Linked DNA regions of Sus scrofa. The protein of the gene in region 3 purifies or fractionates together with the protein of the main gene of each other region. This does not show direct contact. Links are inferred from orthologs where the notes say so. Each region holds a gene or a part of one and is shown on either strand. Other genes may lie near its edges.

Evidence for each region.
Region 1: the proteins of PRKAG2 (region 3) and PRKAA1 purify together in Homo sapiens (affinity purification with mass spectrometry; 8 studies listed by BioGRID and IntAct, counting the BioPlex papers as one, with this or other methods). This does not show direct contact. The link is inferred for Sus scrofa from reciprocal best matches to the Homo sapiens genes PRKAG2 and PRKAA1.
Region 2: the proteins of PRKAG2 (region 3) and PRKAA2 purify together in Homo sapiens (affinity purification with mass spectrometry; 5 studies listed by BioGRID and IntAct, counting the BioPlex papers as one, with this or other methods). This does not show direct contact. The link is inferred for Sus scrofa from reciprocal best matches to the Homo sapiens genes PRKAG2 and PRKAA2.

The regions. Positions count from the first base shown.
Region 1 is NC_010458.4:25,761,694-25,769,121, forward strand, and holds part of PRKAA1 (5'-AMP-activated protein kinase catalytic subunit alpha-1), read right to left. Parts: intron 3,215-7,428; coding exon 3,073-3,214; intron 1,444-3,072; coding exon 1,350-1,443; intron 1-1,349. UniProt on the Homo sapiens protein: Catalytic subunit of AMP-activated protein kinase (AMPK), an energy sensor protein kinase that plays a key role in regulating cellular energy metabolism.
Region 2 is NC_010448.4:155,688,502-155,695,157, forward strand, and holds the end of PRKAA2 (5'-AMP-activated protein kinase catalytic subunit alpha-2), read right to left. Parts: intron 6,172-6,656; coding exon 5,667-6,171; intron 4,322-5,666; coding exon 4,195-4,321; exon of another isoform or gene 4,107-4,194; intron 2,463-4,106; coding exon 2,224-2,462; 3' UTR 1,789-2,223; downstream 1-1,788. UniProt on the Homo sapiens protein: Catalytic subunit of AMP-activated protein kinase (AMPK), an energy sensor protein kinase that plays a key role in regulating cellular energy metabolism.
Region 3 is NC_010460.4:5,556,069-5,563,496, reverse strand, and holds part of PRKAG2 (5'-AMP-activated protein kinase subunit gamma-2), read right to left. Parts: intron 6,203-7,428; coding exon 6,131-6,202; intron 3,804-6,130; coding exon 3,524-3,803; coding exon of another isoform or gene 3,498-3,523; intron 1-3,497. UniProt on the Homo sapiens protein: AMP/ATP-binding subunit of AMP-activated protein kinase (AMPK), an energy sensor protein kinase that plays a key role in regulating cellular energy metabolism.

The sequences.
Region 1 (7,428 bases), on a different chromosome or scaffold from region 3:
ATGGGAAGACCCACCAATCAATAAGTTCTACCACCATGAGCTTTGCATTTAGTATTTCACTCTCAGATATGGGCCCACAACCCAGAATCACCAGACATCTGAGCAAGAGCCATGTACAAAAGACAAAGACCAATAAAATGAACAGAAGAACAGGGAGCAGGGAGCACAGAAGGCACAGAGGCAATGTAGGGAACAGAAGAAAACTTTTTTTTTTAAACTAATTGCCATCTTCATATAGATAAGTTTATTTGCTCAATGGAACAAAAAAATAGGCTAATTTGAGAAAGACAATTTCAGAAAATAAGAAAGAGATCTTTGAAATAGAAAAATGACAGCTGGAATTTTAATATGCAAGAGGCAAAATTGAGGGAAATATCCGTAACGTAAAACAAAATGATCAAGACATGAAAAAAGGAAGAGAAATGATAAGAAAGCAAGATATCAATCCAACTTATGTCTGTTCCCATTTCTCTAGGCAGAACATTGGGGCAGAACATTGGGGAGATTGGAGGAGGAAGGGGGACTGAAAAGACAGATAAAACACTTGAAATTGAAATGAACCATGTTAAAAAATGGTAAAATTAAAATTAACTTGGCTAATGATTTTGATGAAAGTAAACAGATGTGCTATATAGAACAAATGAATGAATGATATAAGAACTCTAAATTGGGAGGGAAAAAAAACTGGCTTCTCCATGCTCGACCTGCTCTTCTGGAAAGAGGTTTTTGCATACTACATACCCCAAGTTGAGAAAAAGTATGGATGGGGGGTAGTGTGCAGTTTTGGTATCTGTAACTTAAGATACTGTTAAAACTGCCTTCTAAAGTTCCTTCCAATTCTGAATTCTTTAAGTCTAATTTCTCCTTCACAGAACCTGTTCTGACTATTCCAGGTACACCAGATTTCTGAAACCAAAAAATGAATGCAATTTAAATGTGGCTAGGGTTGACTAGCAAGGCCTCGATCTTTAAGTATTTAATAACATATTTTGTGAGGACTAAATACCTACTTTTAGATATATATTAAAATTATCCTTGTGCCCCAGAAGCTAAGTCTGAAGATCATGAGTTTTGGAATCTCAATCCAATTCTGTCGTCAATAAATTATGTGACCTTAAGCAAATATATAAACTGTCAGTCTCAGATTCCATATCTGTGTAAGTAGTACGGAGATAATATTTAAGATCCTTCCTAGCTCTAAACAGTCTCTGATTCTAGGCAAATATATGAATAAAGGAACTGGTTATTAAATAGACCTCTTAACAAAATTGCTTTCTGGTATTTTTTGATGCTAGTAAGGGATAAGGGAAGTTACAAAATATATATAGGATTAAATCAGAACTGCTTACCCTTCCATTTTTACAGATATAATCAAATAGCTCGCCTCCTGAAACATATTCCATCACCATGAAAATATCAGATGGTGTACTGATGACCTGGTACCTGGTGAGAGAAAACATTGTCTACCAGTATTAAACACGTATATTCATTCATTCAATAAATATTTACTGAGTGCCTACAATACACCAGGCATTGCGCCGGGAGCTGGGAAAACTGTAGGGAACAAAATAAATTCTCTACTCTCATGGAGTTCGTGTTCCAGGAGCCAGGAAACAGACACTAAGTAAAAAGGCAATATCTCAGGTGGTGGAACATGCTATGAAGAGGAGAAAAGCAAACTAAAGGGAATCATTCAGACAGGGTGTTCAAGGAAGGCCTCTCTGATGAAGTAACACTTAAGCAGAGCCTTGGAAGTGAGGAAACTAACTCTGCCATTATCTAGGAAGACGGTAAACCCGGCAGAGGAAACAGCAAGTGCAAAGGCCCCCAGGTGGAAACCTGCCTGGCAGGTTTGAGCAATGGTAGGAAGGCTGGAACAGAGTGAGCAAGAAGAGAGAAACAGGATGTGGCCTCCAAGAGGTAACAGAAAACCTTACAAAGACCTTACAGCCATGATGAGGCTCTGGCTTTTATTCCATGGGAGAAAGAAAGCTACTGAAGGTTTTAAGCAAAGTTGTCCTGTGATCTGGCTGATTAAAAGAGTAACTTTAGTTTACAGCAGTAGTGTGAAGAACTGACTGGGGGCAGTAAGGTGGTAGTAGGTGGCTACTGCAGTGGTCCAAGAGAGAGATAAAGGTGGCTCACACTGGGTTGATGACATAAGGAACTGACAAACACTCAGATACTAGATTTATTTTTGAAGGAAGAGATGGAATGGAGGGTAGGAAGTGAGAGAGATAGGAAAGTTAAGGATAGTTCCTGAGTTTCTGCCCTGAGGATATTAACTGAGATGGTGAAATAAAGAGTTCAGTTTTGGGCATGTACCTCGTGCATACCCCAATGGAGGTGTAAAACAGGCTGTGGACATATGAGTCGGGAATTAAGGAACAAGTTTCAAAAGAGGAGATGTATATTTAACGGTCGCCAGCATAAGGATGGTACCTAAAACATGGCACCTCAACAAATGAGAAGAGGTGAGCATGAAACAAATTCTGAGTTAGCCAGTTCAATACAAAAGTCTAAATGGTTTTCATTCACAGCCTGCATAATAAAGCTGAACAGTATACAGTTACCTATAGACCCTACAATTGGCAACTATAAAACAATGATAGTATTGCCACCTTTTGAAATGTTGAATTCCTGAAATCTATTATTTGTTATTTGCTTTATCAGATATAAGCAGTGGGGGGGGCAGAGGGGGAGGGGAGCCCTTTCTACTGCAATGTCTCTAGTGAGGCTGACATGTGGAAATTTGGAGGTCAAGAGTTTTTACTAGCAAATCATTCTTGGCGCTATAGCAATAGGGGTGCTGCAGGTGATCTATCAGAGGGGCATCAGTCCAGAGGACAAGAAAGAATAAGATAGATAACACCCGATAAGCACAAGGGCAAAACATGGACATAGGCTTTAGTGACCGTGAATGGGGTTAGATAAATACATAAATGGGAAGAAGTTTTAAAACCCTCAGGAACAGACTGAAGAAATGTCACTCATCTTTCTCACTTGTCAGATTAAGCAGGTTAACAAAAATAATGAGAAATAACATGTACATTTAATATAATCAGATCTTACAATTTAATTATATGAGGATGCCTGAAAAGCTTGAGGTTCTGAATTTCTCTGCGGATTTTTCCTACTACATCAAGGCTTCGAATCTTCTGTCGATTGAGTATCTTCACAGCAACTTTATGACCAGTCAATTCATGTTTGCCAACTGTAGGGGAAATAATTTTAATAAATTAGTGCCAGGTTTGATTAATAACATACATAGAACTATTCCAAGAGTAATAATCTTAGCAATCTCTGAAAATACTTGAACAACTCCAAGTTCCTTTCAATTCTGCCTGATTTATCCCTGAATGTTTAGATGTTTAAGAGTGAAAGTGGGAAAATAATACTAGTAACAGTGGTCTCTTACAGAAAGAAAAGCTGGAAGGCTAAGGGAGAGAGAAAAAGAGACTTCCTTTTTTGCTCTCTTTCTGTACTTTGAAATCGTCTTAATTTACTTTTCATGTTTTAATCTATCAAACATGCAAATTGAAGTTTTTTCTGTGGTATGCAGTATTAGAGATTTTAACCCAGGTAGACATTGGTGTAACCACCATTACAATCAGATACAGAATAGTTCCATCATTCCAAAAACTCCCTCATATTAAACATACTTCCTCTATCTATAATCACTTGAATCATGAGCACATAGCTTCTATGTTATTAAATAAGAAAAAAAAATTTAAGTGATTATCTTTCAATTTTGAATGCTATAACCAGATAATCAATGGTTACAGTAGAATTTAGACATTTTTTTTTTTATAAAGGCAAAGTCACCAAAAATTTAGCTTCTATCACCCTTTCTCAAGAATCTAGGGGAGAGGCAGTTCCCTGGTGAACTAGTGGTCTATGGGCTAGTGGTCCATGGGCTAGTCCATGCTTTTGCTGCTGTGACCCGGGTTCAATTCCTGGTCTGGGAACTGAGATTGCAAACCACACAGCTGCACACTACAGCCAAACAAACAAGTTAAACAAACAAAAACAAAAGAACCTGGTGGAGAATATATATTCCATCAAAATCAGGAAGGAAATCAAGATGACAGTCAGTAAAGATGGAATCAAATAAATATAGAGGAAAAAGAACTCCCAGTACGGTAATGAAGAAAATCCTAGGTAACAACTATGTAGAAGGCTAGAAGGCAACAAATCCAGACCAATATTATTATTGAGGACCAGGATGGTTATTTCCCAGGAGGTGGGTAGGGAGTGGATAGGTGTGGAATAGATAAAAATTAAATGTTCTATAAGAAAATATATTCATAGGGGAGTTCCTGTCATGGCTCAGCAGAAACGAATCTGACTAGTACTCATGAGGATGCAGGTTTGATCCCTGGCCTCGATCAGTGGGTTCAGGATCCAGCGTTGCCATGAGCTGTGGTGTAGGTCACAAATGCGGCTTGGATCTGGCATTGCTGTGGCTGTGGTGTAGGCAGGCAGCTCCAGCTCCAGTTACACTCCTAGCCTGGGAACCTACATATGCTGTGGGTGTGGCTCTAAAAGGACAAAAAAAAAAAAAGAAAGAAAAGATAGTCATAGTATTGGCTTAGCAAATAGTTTTTATACAGTCACAATTATGAAAACACCAAATACAAATTTTTTTAAAAGTATGACCTAATTACAGTAGAAGAATGAGAGTGTAGAGGAAAAGGTATAAAAGAACTAATATCCTGGACATGGAGGGTATTATGCTTACTGAAGTACATCGTAAGTCGGACAGTCTCCTCAGCAAGTGGTGTTGAGAAAACTGGATAGCCTCATGTAAATCAATGAAGTTCGAACACTCCCTCACACCATACACAAAAATAAACTCAAAATGGCTAAAAGACTTAAATATAAAACAGAACACCATAAAACTCCCTAGAAAATTACATAGGCAAAATATTCTGACATAAATCGCAGCAATATTTTCTTAGATTGGTTTCTCAAGGCAAAAGAAATAAAAGCAAAAATAAACAAATGGGGAGTTCCCGTCGTGGCGCAGTGGTTAACGAATCCGACTAGGAACCATGAGGTTGCGGGTTCGATCCCTGCCCTTGCTCAGTGGGTTAACGATCCGGCGTTGCCATGAGCTGTGGTGTAGGTTGCAGACACAGCTCGGATCCCGCGTTGCTGTGGCTCTGGCGTAGGCCGGTGGCTACAGCTCCGATTCAACCCCTAGCCTGGGAACCTCCATATGCCCTGGGAGCGGCCCAAGAAATAGCAACAATAACAACAACAACAACAAAAAAAAAGACAAAAGACAAAATGGGACCTAATCAAATTTAAAAGCTTTTGCACAAAAGGAAAACCACAAAACAAAAGGATAACCTATGGCCAGGGAGAAGACATTTGCAAATGATGCAACCAACAAGGGGTTAATTTCCAAAGCATATAAACAGCTTTCTCAATATCTAAACAAAAACCCAATCAAAAAATGGGCTGAAGACCTAAATACACTTTTCTCCAAAGAAGACACAGATGGCCAACAGGTACATAAAAAGTGCTCAACATTTCTAATTATTAGAGAAATGCAAATCAAAAGTACAATGAGACATAACCCCATACTGGTCAGAATGGCCACCATCAAACTGTCTACAAATAATAAATGCTGGAGAGGATATGGAGAAAAGGAGACCCTCCTACACTGTTGGTGGGACTGTAAATTGCTGCAGCCACTATGGAGGTTCCTTAGAAAACTAAAAACAGAGTTATCATATGATTTAGCAATTTTACTCCTGGGCATATATATCTGAAAGAGACAAAAACTCTAACTAGATATGTGCACCCTAGTGTTTACTGCAACACTACAACAGCCAAGACATGGAAGTAATCTGCATGTCCATCAACAGAGGAATGGATAAAGAAAACTTGGTACATACACATATACAATGGAGTACTGCTCAGCCATAAAAAAGAATGAAATAATGCCATCTGCAGCAACATGGAGGGAGCTAGAGATTATCATACTAACGGAAGTCAGTCAGAGAGAAAGACAAATATCATATGATATCACTTATATATACAATCTAAAAAAAAATAAAAATGAACATATTTACAAAACAGAAAGGGATTCACAGACACTGAAAACAAATTTATGGTCACCAAAAGAGGAAGGATGGTGAGGGATAAATCAGGAGTATGGGATTGACAAATACACACCACTATATATAAAATAGATAACCTATAATGCAAAAGAATCTGAAAAAAAATATATATATATATGAATAAGCTAAAAGAATACACTGTGCAGCACAGTGTGTGTGTGTGTGTATATAGCCAAACCATTTTGCTGTATATCAGAAAATAACACAGTATTGTAAATCAACTATACTTCAATAAAGTTTTTTAATTTTTAATAAAACAAACTAGTAAATATAATAAAAAAGAAATAGACTCACAGATATAGAGAACAAACTTGTGGTTACCCATGGAGAGACACAGTGGGGAGGGGCAAGATAGAGGTAGGGGAGGTATAAACTACTAAGTATAAAATAAATAAGCTACAAGGACATACTTCATTGCACAGGGAATATAGCCAATATTTCATAATAACTTGAAATGAAGTATAATCCATAGAAATCTTTTTTGGCCGCACCCACAGCATGCGGAAATTCCCAGGCCAGAGATCAAACCCTCACCGCAGTAGTGACCCGAGCCACTGTTATAACAATGCCAGATCCTTAACCTGCTGCACCACAAGAGAACTCTCTAAATAAATTATTTAGAATTTTAGTTTTTCAGGAAAAAAAATATTCTCTTCTAAATAAAACATAATTTGTAAAACCAATGTCAAAAAGCTTTCCTTGGCATGTTTATTAATCACCAACTGAAAATCAATTTCTGCTGTTAAAGCCACTCAACTTGCAATATTTTGTTATGGCAGTCCTAGCAGATTAATACATTTTCTTACTATTTCCAAGTTGAAAACTCAATACCGATATTTTAAACTCCTCATGTTCTGGAGTTCCTGTCATGGCTCAGCAGTAACAAACCTGACTGATATCCATGAGGATGTGGGTTCAATCCCTGGCCTCACTCAGTGGGTTAAGGATCCAGTGTTGCTATGAGCTGTGGTGTAGGTCGCAGACATGGCTCCCTGGTTGCTGTGGCTGTGGCAAAGGCCATTGGCTACAGCTCCGATTCAACCCCTAGCCTGGGAACCTCCATATGCCATGGGCGCGGCCCTAAAAAGACAAAAAATTTAAAAAATTACAAATAGGAGTTCCCGTTGTGGCTCAGTGGTTAACGAATCCAACTAGGAACCATGAGGTTGCGGGTTCAATCCCTGGCCTCCCTCAGTGGGTTATGGATCCAGCGTTGCCATGAGCTGTGGTGTAGGCTGTAGATGCATGCGGCTCCGATCCCGAGTTGCTGTGGTTGTGGGGTAGGCCAGAAGCTACA
Region 2 (6,656 bases), on a different chromosome or scaffold from region 3:
AATATAGATATTTATAAATACTGGCACAAATGAGAAAATAGTAAATAATTTTTTAACTCTTAAAAAACATAATCATCCATATAAAGAAATTTTGATATAAGTTTCTAATATCTGATTCATTACAGAAGCTAAAATGCCACTGGATTCCTTCTTGCTATTTCTCTGCCTTCAAAATTGTTAGGGATTTTATCACTGAGAATAAGGATTCAGAGTAATTCCTTATTTTGAAGGTCATCTCATTCATAGGCAAATATTATGAAGTGGCCCTGTTTTTCCCAAAAGGTATTTACACACTTGTTGAGGCCAAAATTATGCCGTATCTATATGCACATCAAAACTAACGCAGCAGAACTGCTTATCCCTATAAAAATAATCACAAAAAAGTATCCTTTGATGCCACTAGATGGCAATCTTTCAAAGGTTTAGACTTAAAACATATTAACTACAACTCCACCCTCTTTCCCAAACTGGCAAACAAGGATTCCTTGTACTTTGCTATTAAGAAGTCGGACATAAAAGTTGTATCATTTTTTAAAAGTTCTTCAAAAAATATGATGTGACACAATGCAAACCCCTGACTCAATACTCATTTAAAAACAGCCATATTTGTTTTACAGGAGAAACTTGGTCTAACATTCTCATTTGCTTCTTGGTAGAAAACACATTATTTTTGGCAAAGAGAAACCAGTCAAGGCAATGTCACTTTTTGTTTTCAAGAGCTTAATCTTTTCTAGGGTGAGTCAGGTGAATGATATTGTTAATTACAGCATTTTAAACAAAAAAAAAAAGAATAAATACAATTAGATAAATTATACATGATTTTAAAATTAAATATTTTTATTAAAACAAAATATAATCAATGGGCTGTTACCTACCCTGCTGTATGTAGGGTTATTTTTTAAAGCCTTAAAAAACCAAAAACCCTGCACAAAGCAAAAGCAAAAGTTTGGTTTTCCTTTAAAAGCACTGATGTGCGAATACATATATGTATATGTGTAAACAACACATATATTTATTCAAGAGAAAATTCTTTGAATGTTTAAGGTTTCGCTGCCCTAACAAGTTCAACAGTGCAGGTCACAGCCTACCGAGCTTTGGAAATACACAAAAGCCCTTAGGGCCAGAACAGTGTTTTCAAACTGGATGGCTAGCAACCAAGATACAGAACAAAGAAAGAGAACCAGAAAAGATTTTAAAGCTAAGTCAGTCGGCCACTAAAGATGAAACATTAAACACAAAGGCAACCAGGAAGGTGAGGGACCACAACAACCAAATTCAGATGAAAAACCAGCATCACGGGATTCAGCGGGGCACACACACTCCTTACACACAGTTAAAGATCAAAGGTAAGAGTTCTCTTTACAGGGACTACCGACATTTTGCTTTGTTTCATTTAACTGTCAAATCATGCTTGGTGAAGTATAAAAACAAATAGAGCTAAAAAATATTTGAGAAAGATAGATTTTGAAGGCATGTCGTAAAATAAGTTTATGAAAAAGACAAAAGTTGCTGCAATTCCAGATGTTCCAGTACTGAGAAGAACTTTAAAGGCAAATCTTTAGTACATTATTCAGGGACATCTCAAGATAAAACCTCTAGTTACAGCTGTTTTTAAGAACTTAGAAATCATGGTTACCTGTTTCGGGACCACAGCCCTTCTGCTGAACACTGGGCAACATTTGCGAAAACTTCTACAAGAACTTGGTTTTTGAAATTTTGGAGGCTGACATTTAAGATTTCAACATTTAAATACTACCTTACCAATATTGCGGTTTTTTTTTTTTTTTTAAACTTCTTGGGCATAAACACAGCGTAAAGCCTGCCGAAATTTAGGAAGCAAACTGGATTCACCTACACTACACAGTAAAGCAAGAAGGTGATGCCAAGCGACTCTTCGTTGATGGTTCACCAGTAACGATGTCTTAATCATCTGCAGTGAATCCACGGTTTTAGATGAACAACAATCTTCGTCGATGTTCACCTAGTAAAGACACCGCCTATGTGATTTTTATCGTAGGCAAAACAGAATTACAGATGTCTACAGTAAATAAAACGTCAGATTTGTTTTCAGTCATTTCAAAGGTATTGAGTGTCCTCTGGAGATAGTTACGTCTCTCAACCACTACTGCAGAGTATGTGATTTCAATAGGTAAAACAATAATTTAAAGAATATATCTCATTTTCACAGTGCAATAACAGAAGATAGAAACTAGGGAAAGATTATCAACGGGCTAAAGTAGTGATCAGACTGGCACACATTTCGAAAAAATCCATGGTGTGACTGCCCAGGCGAGGTGGAACTGAAGGCAGCATGCTTCCGGTCAAGGAGCCAGAGAGAGAGCCAGAGAGTGAGTGGCTCTCCGCAGTGACAGAATCCAAGCTTGACCGCGGTCTGTGCAAGCCAGCAGCAGAGCAGGACCGCTGAGGTGTTGAGGAACCAGACCTCTGCTCCAGCACCTCATCTGAAATGGACCAAAGAAGAGCAATTTACATGAAAGGTATACTTGTCCAAGCTCTTCCTCTGAAGACACTGTATTCAGAATATTAAGTAAACACATCTGAGCAAGGACAACCTAACAAGCAATGTCATGTTTCAGTGTTTTAGGAACAGCTCCTCCCTCCCTCAATCGTAACAGACATCACTAATCAATCACAACACTTCTATACAGTCAAAACATGACTTTTTTTAGGGCTGCACCTGCAGCATATGGAGGTTCCCAGGCTAGAGGTCAAATCAGAACTGCAGCTGCCTGCCTACACCACAGCCACAGCAACGCCAGATCGCCTCGTCTGCAAGCTACACCACAGCTCATGGCAACGCCAGATCCTTAACCCACTGAGCGAGGCCAGGGATGGAACCCGCATCCTCGTGGATGTTAGTCGGGTTCATTAACCACTGAGCCACGATGGGAACTCCAAAATATTACTTCTAAAACCTCTTTAATATAGTATTTGACAGTAACCTTGAAATGAAACCAATATCCCTTCCATCTGAAGAAAGCATGCCTTTGGAGGATTATTTTCTTGCAGCATTTCACCAAAAAAAAAAAAAAAAAAAAAATCACTAGGATAAAAACAAAAGTTACCATTGCAGAGTGGTTCTGATCCTTCAGAGCACTGTAACTGCCCACAGCAACGGGCAAGGGAAATTTTTGAAAATGCAGATTCCCAGTTTCCCAGAACCCATCTCTAGAGATTGATTTGCTAGGTCTGAGATAGTTCCTAAGAATCTGCAGTTTAAGACGACCTCTGGGTGCTTTCAATGAAGATAATCTGGGGACCATATAAACACAGCTAGAGTTGAGGACAGTTCAAGGATAACATTTATTTTATTAATTGATTGATTTTTGTCTTCTTAGGGCCACAACATATGGAGGTTCCCAGGCTAGGGGTTGAATTGGAGATGCAGCTGCCGGCTGCAAGATCTGTGCTGTATCTGTGACCTACAGCACAGCTCATGGCAACGATGGATCCTTAACCCACACAGCGAGGCCAGGGATCAAACCCTCATCCTCATGGATACTAGTCAGATTTGTTTTTGCTGAGCCACGACGGGAACTCCAAGAATAAAGTTCCAAATCTGAAGAACTCAGTTTTCCTCTGGTTCCATCCAGCAGTGGACACTTGGTTCATTCTGCTTGTATCCCACTTGGACCTCTGAGTGGAATACACACACTGACCAGCCGAGTCTGACTCTTGGCACACACTAGGACATGACCACCTCCCTGACTCTTTCGCCGGTCAGGGGCACCAAACCATGGGCATCAAAACCCAACCCAAATCCTGGGGGAGGCCATACAGGATACCTTGGCCACCCAAGATGAAAGAAACAGATGAAGTTTAGATATTATAATGCTTAATGGTAAAATATGACTGGGGAAATGTGACAAGAACCTAACGTCAGCTTACTTTAGGTAAAATTGCTTCCTTAATTGTTCCTTCCTTTTCTCTACAGCCAACACTTCAAATGACTTTTTAATACCAAGGAAGCACGTCTTTTGGAGAGGTGATGGATTAGAGATTTTCCACATGTCTTCGATCCTTTTCGCTTCACTTACACTTTTAGTTAAATCTAGGTTACTTAAAAACCAGTACAGAAGACCTACCCACCATGTCTTTGAGATGGTTTTAACATCTTGTCAACTAGTGCCAAGTTTTATCTTCTCAGAGTTCATGCCTGCGTGGCTTCCTTACCATCAATGCTTTTAAAGTCCAAAAGATAGCTTCTATTGTCAACCAGGTACAACTGTAAGCTCATTTTCACATAATTGCCAGTCACTGGATTTTTTCTTCTTACACGTAGATGGTATGCATTCACTACCTAAAACGGAAATTTTTCTTTAAGGGAAAACATTAAAAATAAACTACAAAATACCTTATTCTTATTGAAAAGAATAATATTAAAACAAGTAACTGACAGAGGTAGAGCAGAGATGGAATTCCTGAATTATCTTTTTTCTTTTACATTACACAGTAGTTTAGTATTTAATCCCTACCAACAGTACTATATACAGCAATTAAAATTTAAAGGGAATGCAGAGATTATATGGAGTCCAGCATTCTTTCCAGATGTGCCTCTACTCTAAATAATCTTCGTTGCCCATTCTCAACTTGGATACCTTTACTAGGACTATAAGCTAGACAGAGACCTAACATGTTAATGGTTTAAACCTGGCACAGTAACAGGTACTGTCACAAAATTGAAGTATCATAGTAATCTTGCAAGGAAGATATTTTCTTTTGAAGATAATAAAACAGCAACTCAGATAAAGATTCTGCTTTTTCAAAACATCAAATTATTTACAAAATGTTTTCAGTAAGGAATTTTAAGACATTAACATCTATTTTTAAACTAACTAAATAAAACCATTTCAGAAAAGGGAGATCTGCTTTTTAAATGGTTTTAAGGAAATATGATTTTGTTTATTCATTCCATGTACAAATAACGAAATAAAAATATGTCAAGTGAATATGTACATGGTATGTTTGAACATTTTTCTTCTGTTAAAAATACATTCCAGTCCTCAAGAAAGGAACGAAAATAAAAGATACCTGAAAAGGAAAAACTGCCCCCCATATACTCAAATAGAATTGAAATGCATTTGAGCACTAATAAAAAAGTAAAATGTGGACTGAAAAAAAAATATATCACAACTAAGGACTAAAAGCACTAGCCAAATAAGACAGGCTTTCTCAACTTACAGAAAAGTATTTGTCAACTCAATAAATATATCCTGATGGTATAATTTGTACGAACCACTTGTTGCTACAGCTATTAACAAAAAGAAAAAAAGAGAAAGTAAAAACATACTATCTTTGAAGACACATGACTTTTTTTCTGATGCATGCTGAAACAGGTAAGCTATTTTCTCAAGAAATTTCAAGTTTATTAAAACTCTTTCTTGGCCAAGAATGCTATTCTATAATTCAAAAATATATAGGTCCCCAACATCAACGGTTCTTAATCTTTACAAAGATTTATTTTGTTTTGAGTGTACATGGTACATTACTAGAAAGAATGGGGTTTATTAGCCAGAAGCATCTAGACCACTAAATTCATATATAAATCAAAACCAACTTTTTTATTGACCACAGTACTCAACTCAGCAGCTCACTATATATCAAAGGGCTTCTACTAATGATCTTCATATACTCCAATCTCCTACCTTCCATTCAAAATCCAGCTGCTTCATAGCTCGGTAAACTTCAGCCATAATGTCATATGGTTTGCTTTGACTTCGAATCCCAAGATGCCACTTGGCTTTTTTCACAGCTAAAGATTTGGGCTTGGTTGTATTCAGTGCATCCAATGGACATCTTGCTTTAGGGCTGTCTGCTATAAGAGGTGGCATCCTTTCTGGATGAGGTTTCAGGCCTGGGGGAATATGCATGGCACTATCATCCATAAAAGAACCAGTTGGGGGACTAGAGGCGAGGTAGAACTCACTGGCTTGGTTCATTATTCTCCGATTGTCAATGACAAGATGATAAGCCACTGCAAGCTGGTCTTGAGGGTCACCACTATACAAACTGTTCATTACTTCTGATTCTGTACACTCAAATTTTTCACACACTTCTTTCACAGCCTCATCATCAATGACGTTAGCATCATAGGAGGGGTCTTCAGGAAATAAGTAACTGGGCAAATCTTGTTTAAACCATTCATGCTCTCTAGGAAAAATACCACAACACACTATTGTAAGAACATGCTCTGGCAAGTCCCAAATAATTTATGTACAATGTAACAGAATCAGAAAGATGTGATCTCTAGGCACTCACTAGCTATGTGACCCTGGGTAAGTAAGTTAACCTCTGCTCTTGAATATGATGATTATTCAGACTTGGGTATGTGGCTGCAATTTCCTCAAAAATAAAATGAGCTTGTCATTCGAAAGGAAACAAGTGGCAAACAACTATTTGATGCCAATGATAAAATTCAAGCTTTAAAGCAAAATCTTAGAATTCTGTATTATTTGTACATGTCTCTATGAGTTTGACAGCTTCCCAATACATAAAAGTTTTTTTCTAACTTTATAGTGAAGGTGATAATAAACATGATTTGATATTATATAATGAAATGGGTCACCATTTGGAAAATCAGTCTACCTCAATAACTCAATATTTTCCATATGACCAATGCTTGATGTTACAGAATC
Region 3 (7,428 bases):
GATCTCACAGAAAGATCCATGACTTCCTGCTGCCGAGACCCCCAGAACCAGCCTGGGTCCTTCCCTTTCTGAGGCCTGAGCATTCAGTTCTTCTTTGAATGCTACAAATGCACCCAAATCCTGCCACTAAACTCCCTTGCTTTTTTTTTTTTTTTTTTTTTAAGTGGGGGAGTTCCCCTCGTGGCACAGTGGAAACGAACCCAACTAGTATCCATGAGGACGCGGGTTCAATCCCTGGCCTTGCTCAGTGGGTTAAGGATGTGCTATTGCCGTGAGCTGTGGTGTAGGTCACAGATGTGGCTCTGTTCTGGTATTGCTGTGGCTGTGGTGTAGGCCAGTGGCTACAGCTCCAATTCAACCCCTAGCCTGGGAACCTCCATATGCCACAGGAGCAGCCCTAAAAAGACAGAAAAAAAAAGTGGGGAGGGGGACCAAAGGATGGAGTCAGAAGTCAGGCTAGAAATGCACCCCTTAAGGCCTCCTGTGCAAGTGTGGGTCTCAGATTTCCAGCAGGCAAGGCAGACAGGGAACACGACTGATGACCGTTACAGGCAGAGCAGTCCAGCTGCTCAGAAGCACAGCGATTCTTGGTACCGAGACAGGAAGTTTCTCCCAGGGGTCTCGTGTAAGGATCCGTGTCCTCAGGACATCCTTCAAGTGGAGACTGCGGGTTTCCTGCGAGGCTTCTTTTTTTTTTTTTTTTTTTTTTTGCTTTTTAGGGCTGTACCCCCGGCATATGGAGGTTCCCAGGCTAGGGGTCAAATTGGAGGAGCTGTAGCTGCCAGCCTACACCACAGCCACAGCAATGCAGGATCCAAGCTGCATCTGTGACTCACACCACAGCTCACGGCAACGCCAGATCCTTAACCTAATGGGTAAGCCCAGGGATCGAACCCGCAACCTCATGGTTCCTAGTGGGATTCGTTTCCTCTGTGCCACAACGGGAACTCTGCCTGCGATGCTTCTTACCAAGACCCTCCATAAGGCTGATGGCGTTACCTTCCGGCTCAATTTTGTGAAACCACTTCTGGGGCAGTGGGAGTGGTCTATAGTCCAGGCACCTTGACTCAGGAGTAGAATCGGGCAGGAGGAAGAGCAGATAGACGGTACGCCCCCCGACGCCAGCCCCACACCAGGCACGACTGAAGTTCCTCCCCATGAAGCAGGGCTCTGCCTGGACCAGGACGGTTCAAGGCCAACAGCACAGGCCGCGGTCCTGGGTCTGGACCTGTCCTGGTCGGAACACCCCCTCCCAGAGAGCTTCTCTGGAGAAGCCAAGCACCCACCAAACCTCATCAGTGCGTGTTTTTCCGAGCAGCCCGCACCACTCCACAGCCCACCTGCACCCTGGCTACAGCCAGGCGCTGGAGAAGAGCCCCAACAAGCCACACTTCCCACACAGCCTCTTAAGAGACGCACTTTTGCAGCTGGGTGCTCTCTGGCCAAGCACGCTGAATGGCCCTGGATGACACTGAACGGAAAAGGGCAGCACCGACTCCTGCTTCCAGGGAGCTGAACGTCCTGCCTGCCAGACCCCAGCATCGCACCTGCAGCATCCCACCTGCCAGGCCCCAGCATCCCACCATCCCACCATCCCTTGGCTGGTCCTTTCCACCTTCGGAAATGCCCAGTCTTAACAGCATGACCCCCCAGCACCCGCAAGGCTTCCCCTCCCCCAGAACACGAGCGCAGGTTCTGGCTTCTCCTACATAACCTGTGTCCTGGGTGGGGTCATGTCCCCCCCCAGATTCACGTCCTTCCAGACTGTGACCTTATTTGGAAACGGAGTCATTGTGGGAATAATGAATTAAGAGGAGGTCCTGGAGCAGGGCGGGCCTTGACCCAATGTGGCCATTGTCCTTAGAAGGAAAGGACAAGAAGCACACAGACACGGACTCACGGGGAGAGAAGGCCACCCCGCAGATGGAGCACAGACAGGAGCCAAGGATGCCAGGGACTGCTGGCAACACCAGAAGCTGAGACAAAGACATGGAACAGCTCCTGCCCAGACCCTTCAGAGGGGCCCTGGCCTCTTTGTTTCTTTTTTAAAAAAATCTTATGGCTGAATTTACAGCATATGGATGTTTCCAAGCCACGGATTGAATCCAAGCTGCAGCTGCAGCAACGCCGGATCCTTTAACCCATTGCACCAGGCAGGGGATCAAACCTACACCTCCACAGAGACCTGAGCCATTGCAGTTGGATTTTTAACCCCCACTGCGCCACAGCAGGAACTCCCCTGCTGACTTCCTGATTTGGGTTTCTGGCCGCTGGAACCGTCTGTTGTTTAAGCCACCCAGTTGGGGGACTTTGCGATAGCTGCCCCAGGAATTAACACAACCTAGCTCCATTGTAACCAACGCAGGCACGACGCCACCTCTGGAGAACCAGGACACCTGCTGGAGGTCTGGCCTGCCGTCCCCTCCTCCTGGAGGTGGTGCTTGATGGAATGTTTGAGAATTTCGATCCTGGTCAAGGCAACTCAGGGCGTGCGGACATGGGTGCTAGACTGTTTCTCCCCAGCTGGCTTCATATTTATGCTTCCCCACAGCGCGCCACCTGTCCTGTCTACCGTGTCATGTGACCTTTAGGTGCTTGGGCGGAGGTTTGGTCGTGGGGGCAGGGATGACTTGAGGGGTGCTACGATCAACACCCCAAAGCACTAAGAAAATAAAACAGTTGCCCACCCTTTCCTGACAAGTCACGGCGGCTGGAATGGAGCTCGGGGCTGGCCTTGAAGCTCAGGACGGCTCCAGCCTACAGGTCTTGCTGCAAACGCAGCCTGGCGAGGAAGGAGGCCCGCTCCAGCCCTGACACCTAAGAGCAAGTCTGTCTTCCAAATCGCTGTCTTCCTGGATAGGAACTTTCTGTGTCACCAGCAAGAGTCACAGGAAGAGGGAGCTTCCCTAAGACACGGCAAAGGAGAAAAGCCACTCCGCCCGCCTTCCGGTGGCCTCGCCTGCTTCCAATCACCACTGACAGTGCTGGACTGGGAATAGTTTTAGCCTTGGATCACAAATCCTCGTGAGCCTAAAGCACTCTCTCTTAAACACACATTTCTCTAACCAATCAACCCCAGCTACCCTGGCCTCAAACGGAAAGCCAGAATCTGCCAGACATGGGTACACTCAAGTCCCCCAAACACCAGGCCCCAAGCCCTACCAGGCCCCGGACTCAACCTCAGCTGCACCCCGCTACTGTTTTCCAGAGGAGGCTGGAGGCCGGCGCTCCGCGTGGCTGTCCTCACACGCCATCCGGTGAGTATCGGGATGCCAACCCCACCAGCCGCGCCATACCCACCAGACCGGGTGGATTCGTGCAGGAAGAAAGCGCCCGGTGGCAAGTGATATTCTGGAGATCCGTCTGTTCTTGGGGGACAGACACAGGCGCAAAGCCCTCCCCCCATCACGGACTGTCACCCGATCAGCCTGGGTGCCCCCGCAGGTGGCACTGCAGCCGAGTGGCGCTGAGAAGGTCCCCGGAAGCCCTGCACCCACCTGAAACAATAGCATCAATGTCTTACTTTTTCTGGAGCGGGAGAAGAGCTTGATGCCCCCGGGCGAGGTGGACGGGTTGGAGCTGGGGGAGGATTCTTTGGACGAGGAGCGGAAGATCCCGCTGAAGCTCATGCGGCGCGGGGAGCGCGGCGGGGACTCCTGGTAGGAGAACGGGAACACGGTTTTGGGGGAGCCGGGGCTGGTCTTGGGCCTCACGGGAGCAGACACGGGGCTGGAGGGCCGGGGCTGGGGGCCTCTGGAGAAGAAGCCCTTGGAGGGGCTGCCCGAGCTGAAGGGGCTGTCCACCTGCAGGAGACAGACAGACAGGGGAGGTCACTAGCCTGCCTGCCCCCCGCTGTCCCCCACCGCCGAGCTGCTGGTCCACGACACCCTGCAACTCCCCCCCTTATCCTCTGTGCGGCTCAGGCTCGAGGCTTTCACGTCTCGGGACTGCGTGTTTGTCCCTCTCGAGGTCTGACTGCACTGGAATCACATTCTCCCGCCCCCTTCAAAGGGGGGGAACATAAGTCTCTACAATCTGGAGTTCCCATCGCGGCTCAGCGGTAATGAACGCGACTAGTATCCACAAGGACGTGGGTTCGATCCCTGGCCCCACCCAGTGGCTTAAGGATCCAGTGTTGCCATGAGCTGTGGTGTAGGTCAAAGTCGCAGCTCGGATCCCGCGTTGCTGTGGCTGACACGGAGGCCGGCAGCTGCAGCTCCAATTCAACTCCTGGCCTGGGAACTTCTATATGCTGCAGATGTGGCTGGAAACACACACACACACACACACAAGTCTCTATGATCTGAAAGGCAGGCAGCCTGGGGCTCCATCCTCAGGTGCCCTGGTGGGGAAGGGATGAGGTTTTCATCCCCCGCTGCTCTGGCTTTGGAAGGACTGGGGCTGCTGGCAGAGGTCGGGGAGAAAGTTGAGGCCGAACACCTCTGAGGCTCACTCCGGTGATGACGTGAAATTGTGACTGTGGTCTGAAAAATTACTGGACTCTGTATGTAAGCCAAGGCCCACAGCTCGGGGGCTCAAGGAATCTGGAATGTGTCCTGCTGGTGGGAGTGGGAGGTGATACTCCCGTCTGAGTGCCCGCTGCTCAGGGCCGTCTGAAGGGGCAGCGGCCCAGATCCGATGCACAGGCAGGACCCACACTCTGTATGTTAAACTGCTGTCGTCTTATCGGTAACCCTGCAGCTCAGGAGCCCAAGGGCCTCAGGGCCTCCCAGCTCTGTGGCAGGAAAGAAAAGCAACTTGTCCACTGGGCTCTGGGGCAAGGACGAGGCCTGGCAGGAGGGCCTGGGCTCCACACGGCTGGGACCTCGGGGGCGCTGAGCAGGTGGCGAAAGCACAGATCCAGAGGCGCCCCTGTGTGTCCACGTGGGCGCCTGCGGGGCCCAGGACCCTGTGAGCTTTCCCACCACTAGAGGGCGCCATGAGCCGAGAAGTGATGCCTGGCAGGAGAGCCGCATCAGGGACCCTGGACCCAGTGTGGCCACTGCAGGGGTGGGGGTGCCCGTGGCAGGGGTGTGGAGGCACAGAAGCTGGCTCCATGCAAATCCCCTCGCCCAGGGGGCTTCTGAGACAGGCTGGCCGAGCTCTACCAGAGCCCTGTAACTCCAGCTCTCCTCCTTAGGCAGAAGGTCAAGTTTTTGCAAGGCTTCGATACAAAAAGCATTTAGATTCTGTCTCTGGAGCATTGGGTTCAGTCACTATCCACCCACCCGTGGGATTCAACCTTTCTAAAGCGTTTGCAAATCCTAAGAATAATTACCACAGAGAAGCTTCTGAAGCAGTGGGTGGCGTGTGCGTGTGGACGTGGGGTGGGGCGGGGGAACAGCAGGCCCGGGATGGAGGTGACCCCACAGCAGGGACTTCAAACTCCCAGCGTGGTTTCAATCCGCACATGGTTTCTGGCAGTGGGGCGGGACTTCAGCATCAGTGTCCTCATCTATGCGATGGGGACACTAGGCTAACTTGCAGGGCCTCGAAGAGATAGAATGGACTAGCGGGGAAGCGCCTGGCACACAGTAGGTGCTCATACTATCTGGCCAGCCCTCCACGCCCCAACCTGGTCACCCCAACCTGTTGGCTTCCTTGCAGAGAAAAAACTGACCATCGTGAGAGGAAAGACTGTGGGCTAAAGAGAGGACAGGACAGTGGAAAAGACAAAAGGGAGAGAAGGACATTGGATGGGCTGAGGGTGGAGAGGGCGGGGGCAGAACGGGGCAGAAGGAAAGGGGGCCCGTGGGGAGAAGGTGGGAGCACATGTGGACATGCAGGTGAGAGCACAGGTGGGAGCAGCAGATGTAGAGGTGGGAGCACAGGTGGCAGCAGTGGATGTACAGATGGGAACACAGGTGCATAGACATGTAGGTGGGAGCACAGGTGAGGGCACAGGTGGGAGCAGTGGATATACAGGTGGGAGCACAGGTGAGAGCACAGCAGCAGCAGAGGGGAGCATAGGTAAGAGCACAGGTGGGAGCAGTGGATGTACAGATGAGAGCATCAGGGGGAGCACAGGTGGACATACAGGTGGGAATGGGTTTGGGGGTTGCACCGAGGGAGTGCTGCCTCAGTAGCATCTCAGGTGAGCTGTGACAAGCCGTGAGGACGGTGGCCTTACCTTGCGAGAAGAATGCTTTTCTGAACTCTCCAGGTCTCCATCCAGGAGCGGCATGGCAAAGGAACTCAGGTCCTAGGACGGAAACAGAGCATGGGGTCCATAACCTTGGCCCTCAGGTGCCCACCTGGCCTCATGTGGGGCCGCATGTGGCTCTAAACCCCTTCCTGAGTCCGCCTGGAAAATTACTCACAGGGAGGGGCGCGGAGGGCCACCAAGTAAAACGAGGGGGTGGGGACGTGCTGGCCCCCCTCCGAGAGCCTGACCACCCCACCTCCCCTTCCAGGATGCAAAGCCGCCACCTCCTGCCACGCAGGGACCCCAGGTGGGTAGGGAGAGCGAGCGAGGGAAGTCGTGGGGAGCAAGAGAGAGGATCAAACGCACGGCACGCTCTGGGGGCGATGGGCGCAACCTCATCTCACGACAGGAACCCAGCCAAGACGGGTGTGGCCCCAGGAAGGAGACGGGGCCGTGGGGGGCTGGCGACGGGGACAGTGGTCAGCGAAGCCTGATGACACTGTGGCCCAGAGAAATGGCCTCGGGGCAGTAGTTCCCTACAAGCTCTAACACAAAGTCAAGTGTCACCCTCCGAGCTCCCCTGCCTCCTGGGTCTTGCCCGGGGGACACCCACGCCCCAGGCAGAGCCCCCAGCGGGTGGCCCTCCACTGCAAGAACTGGCCCGCGCCCCAATCGCCCCTTCTCCCTTTTTTAACTGTGGTGAAATACACATCACCCAAGCTTTGCCACTGTAACCACTCCACAGGGACACTTCAGGGGCGTGAAGCACATTTACATAACCAACCCCCCCCCCCCGAGGGGGGGCATCTCCAATTTGCAAAGTGAAACTCTACCCTCATTCGACAATGATGCCCCAGACCCTCCCCAGCCCCTGGCACCCCCCCCACCCCCGCCATTCTACCTTCTGTCTCTATAAACGGCTCGATTCTTGAGACCGCGTGTAAGTGGAATCATACGGTATTCACCTTTTTGTCACTGGCTTATTTCACTGAGTATAATGTCCCCAAGTCTGCCTGTGCTGTAGCTTGTGTCAGGATGTCCTTCCTTTTAAAGGCTGAATAATGTATGGATACCACATGTTGTTTCACTATTCATCCATCAAGAGGCATTGGGTTACTTCCGCCTCTTGGCTCTTGTGAATAAAGCTGCAATGAACACGGGTGTTACAGGTCGAACGGTGTCCCCCTAAAAATTCATAGGTTGGAAGTTACAACCACCCCAGTGGAGTGCCCGTTGTGGCTTAGCAGGTTGAGAACCTGACTAATATCCATGAAGTTATGGGT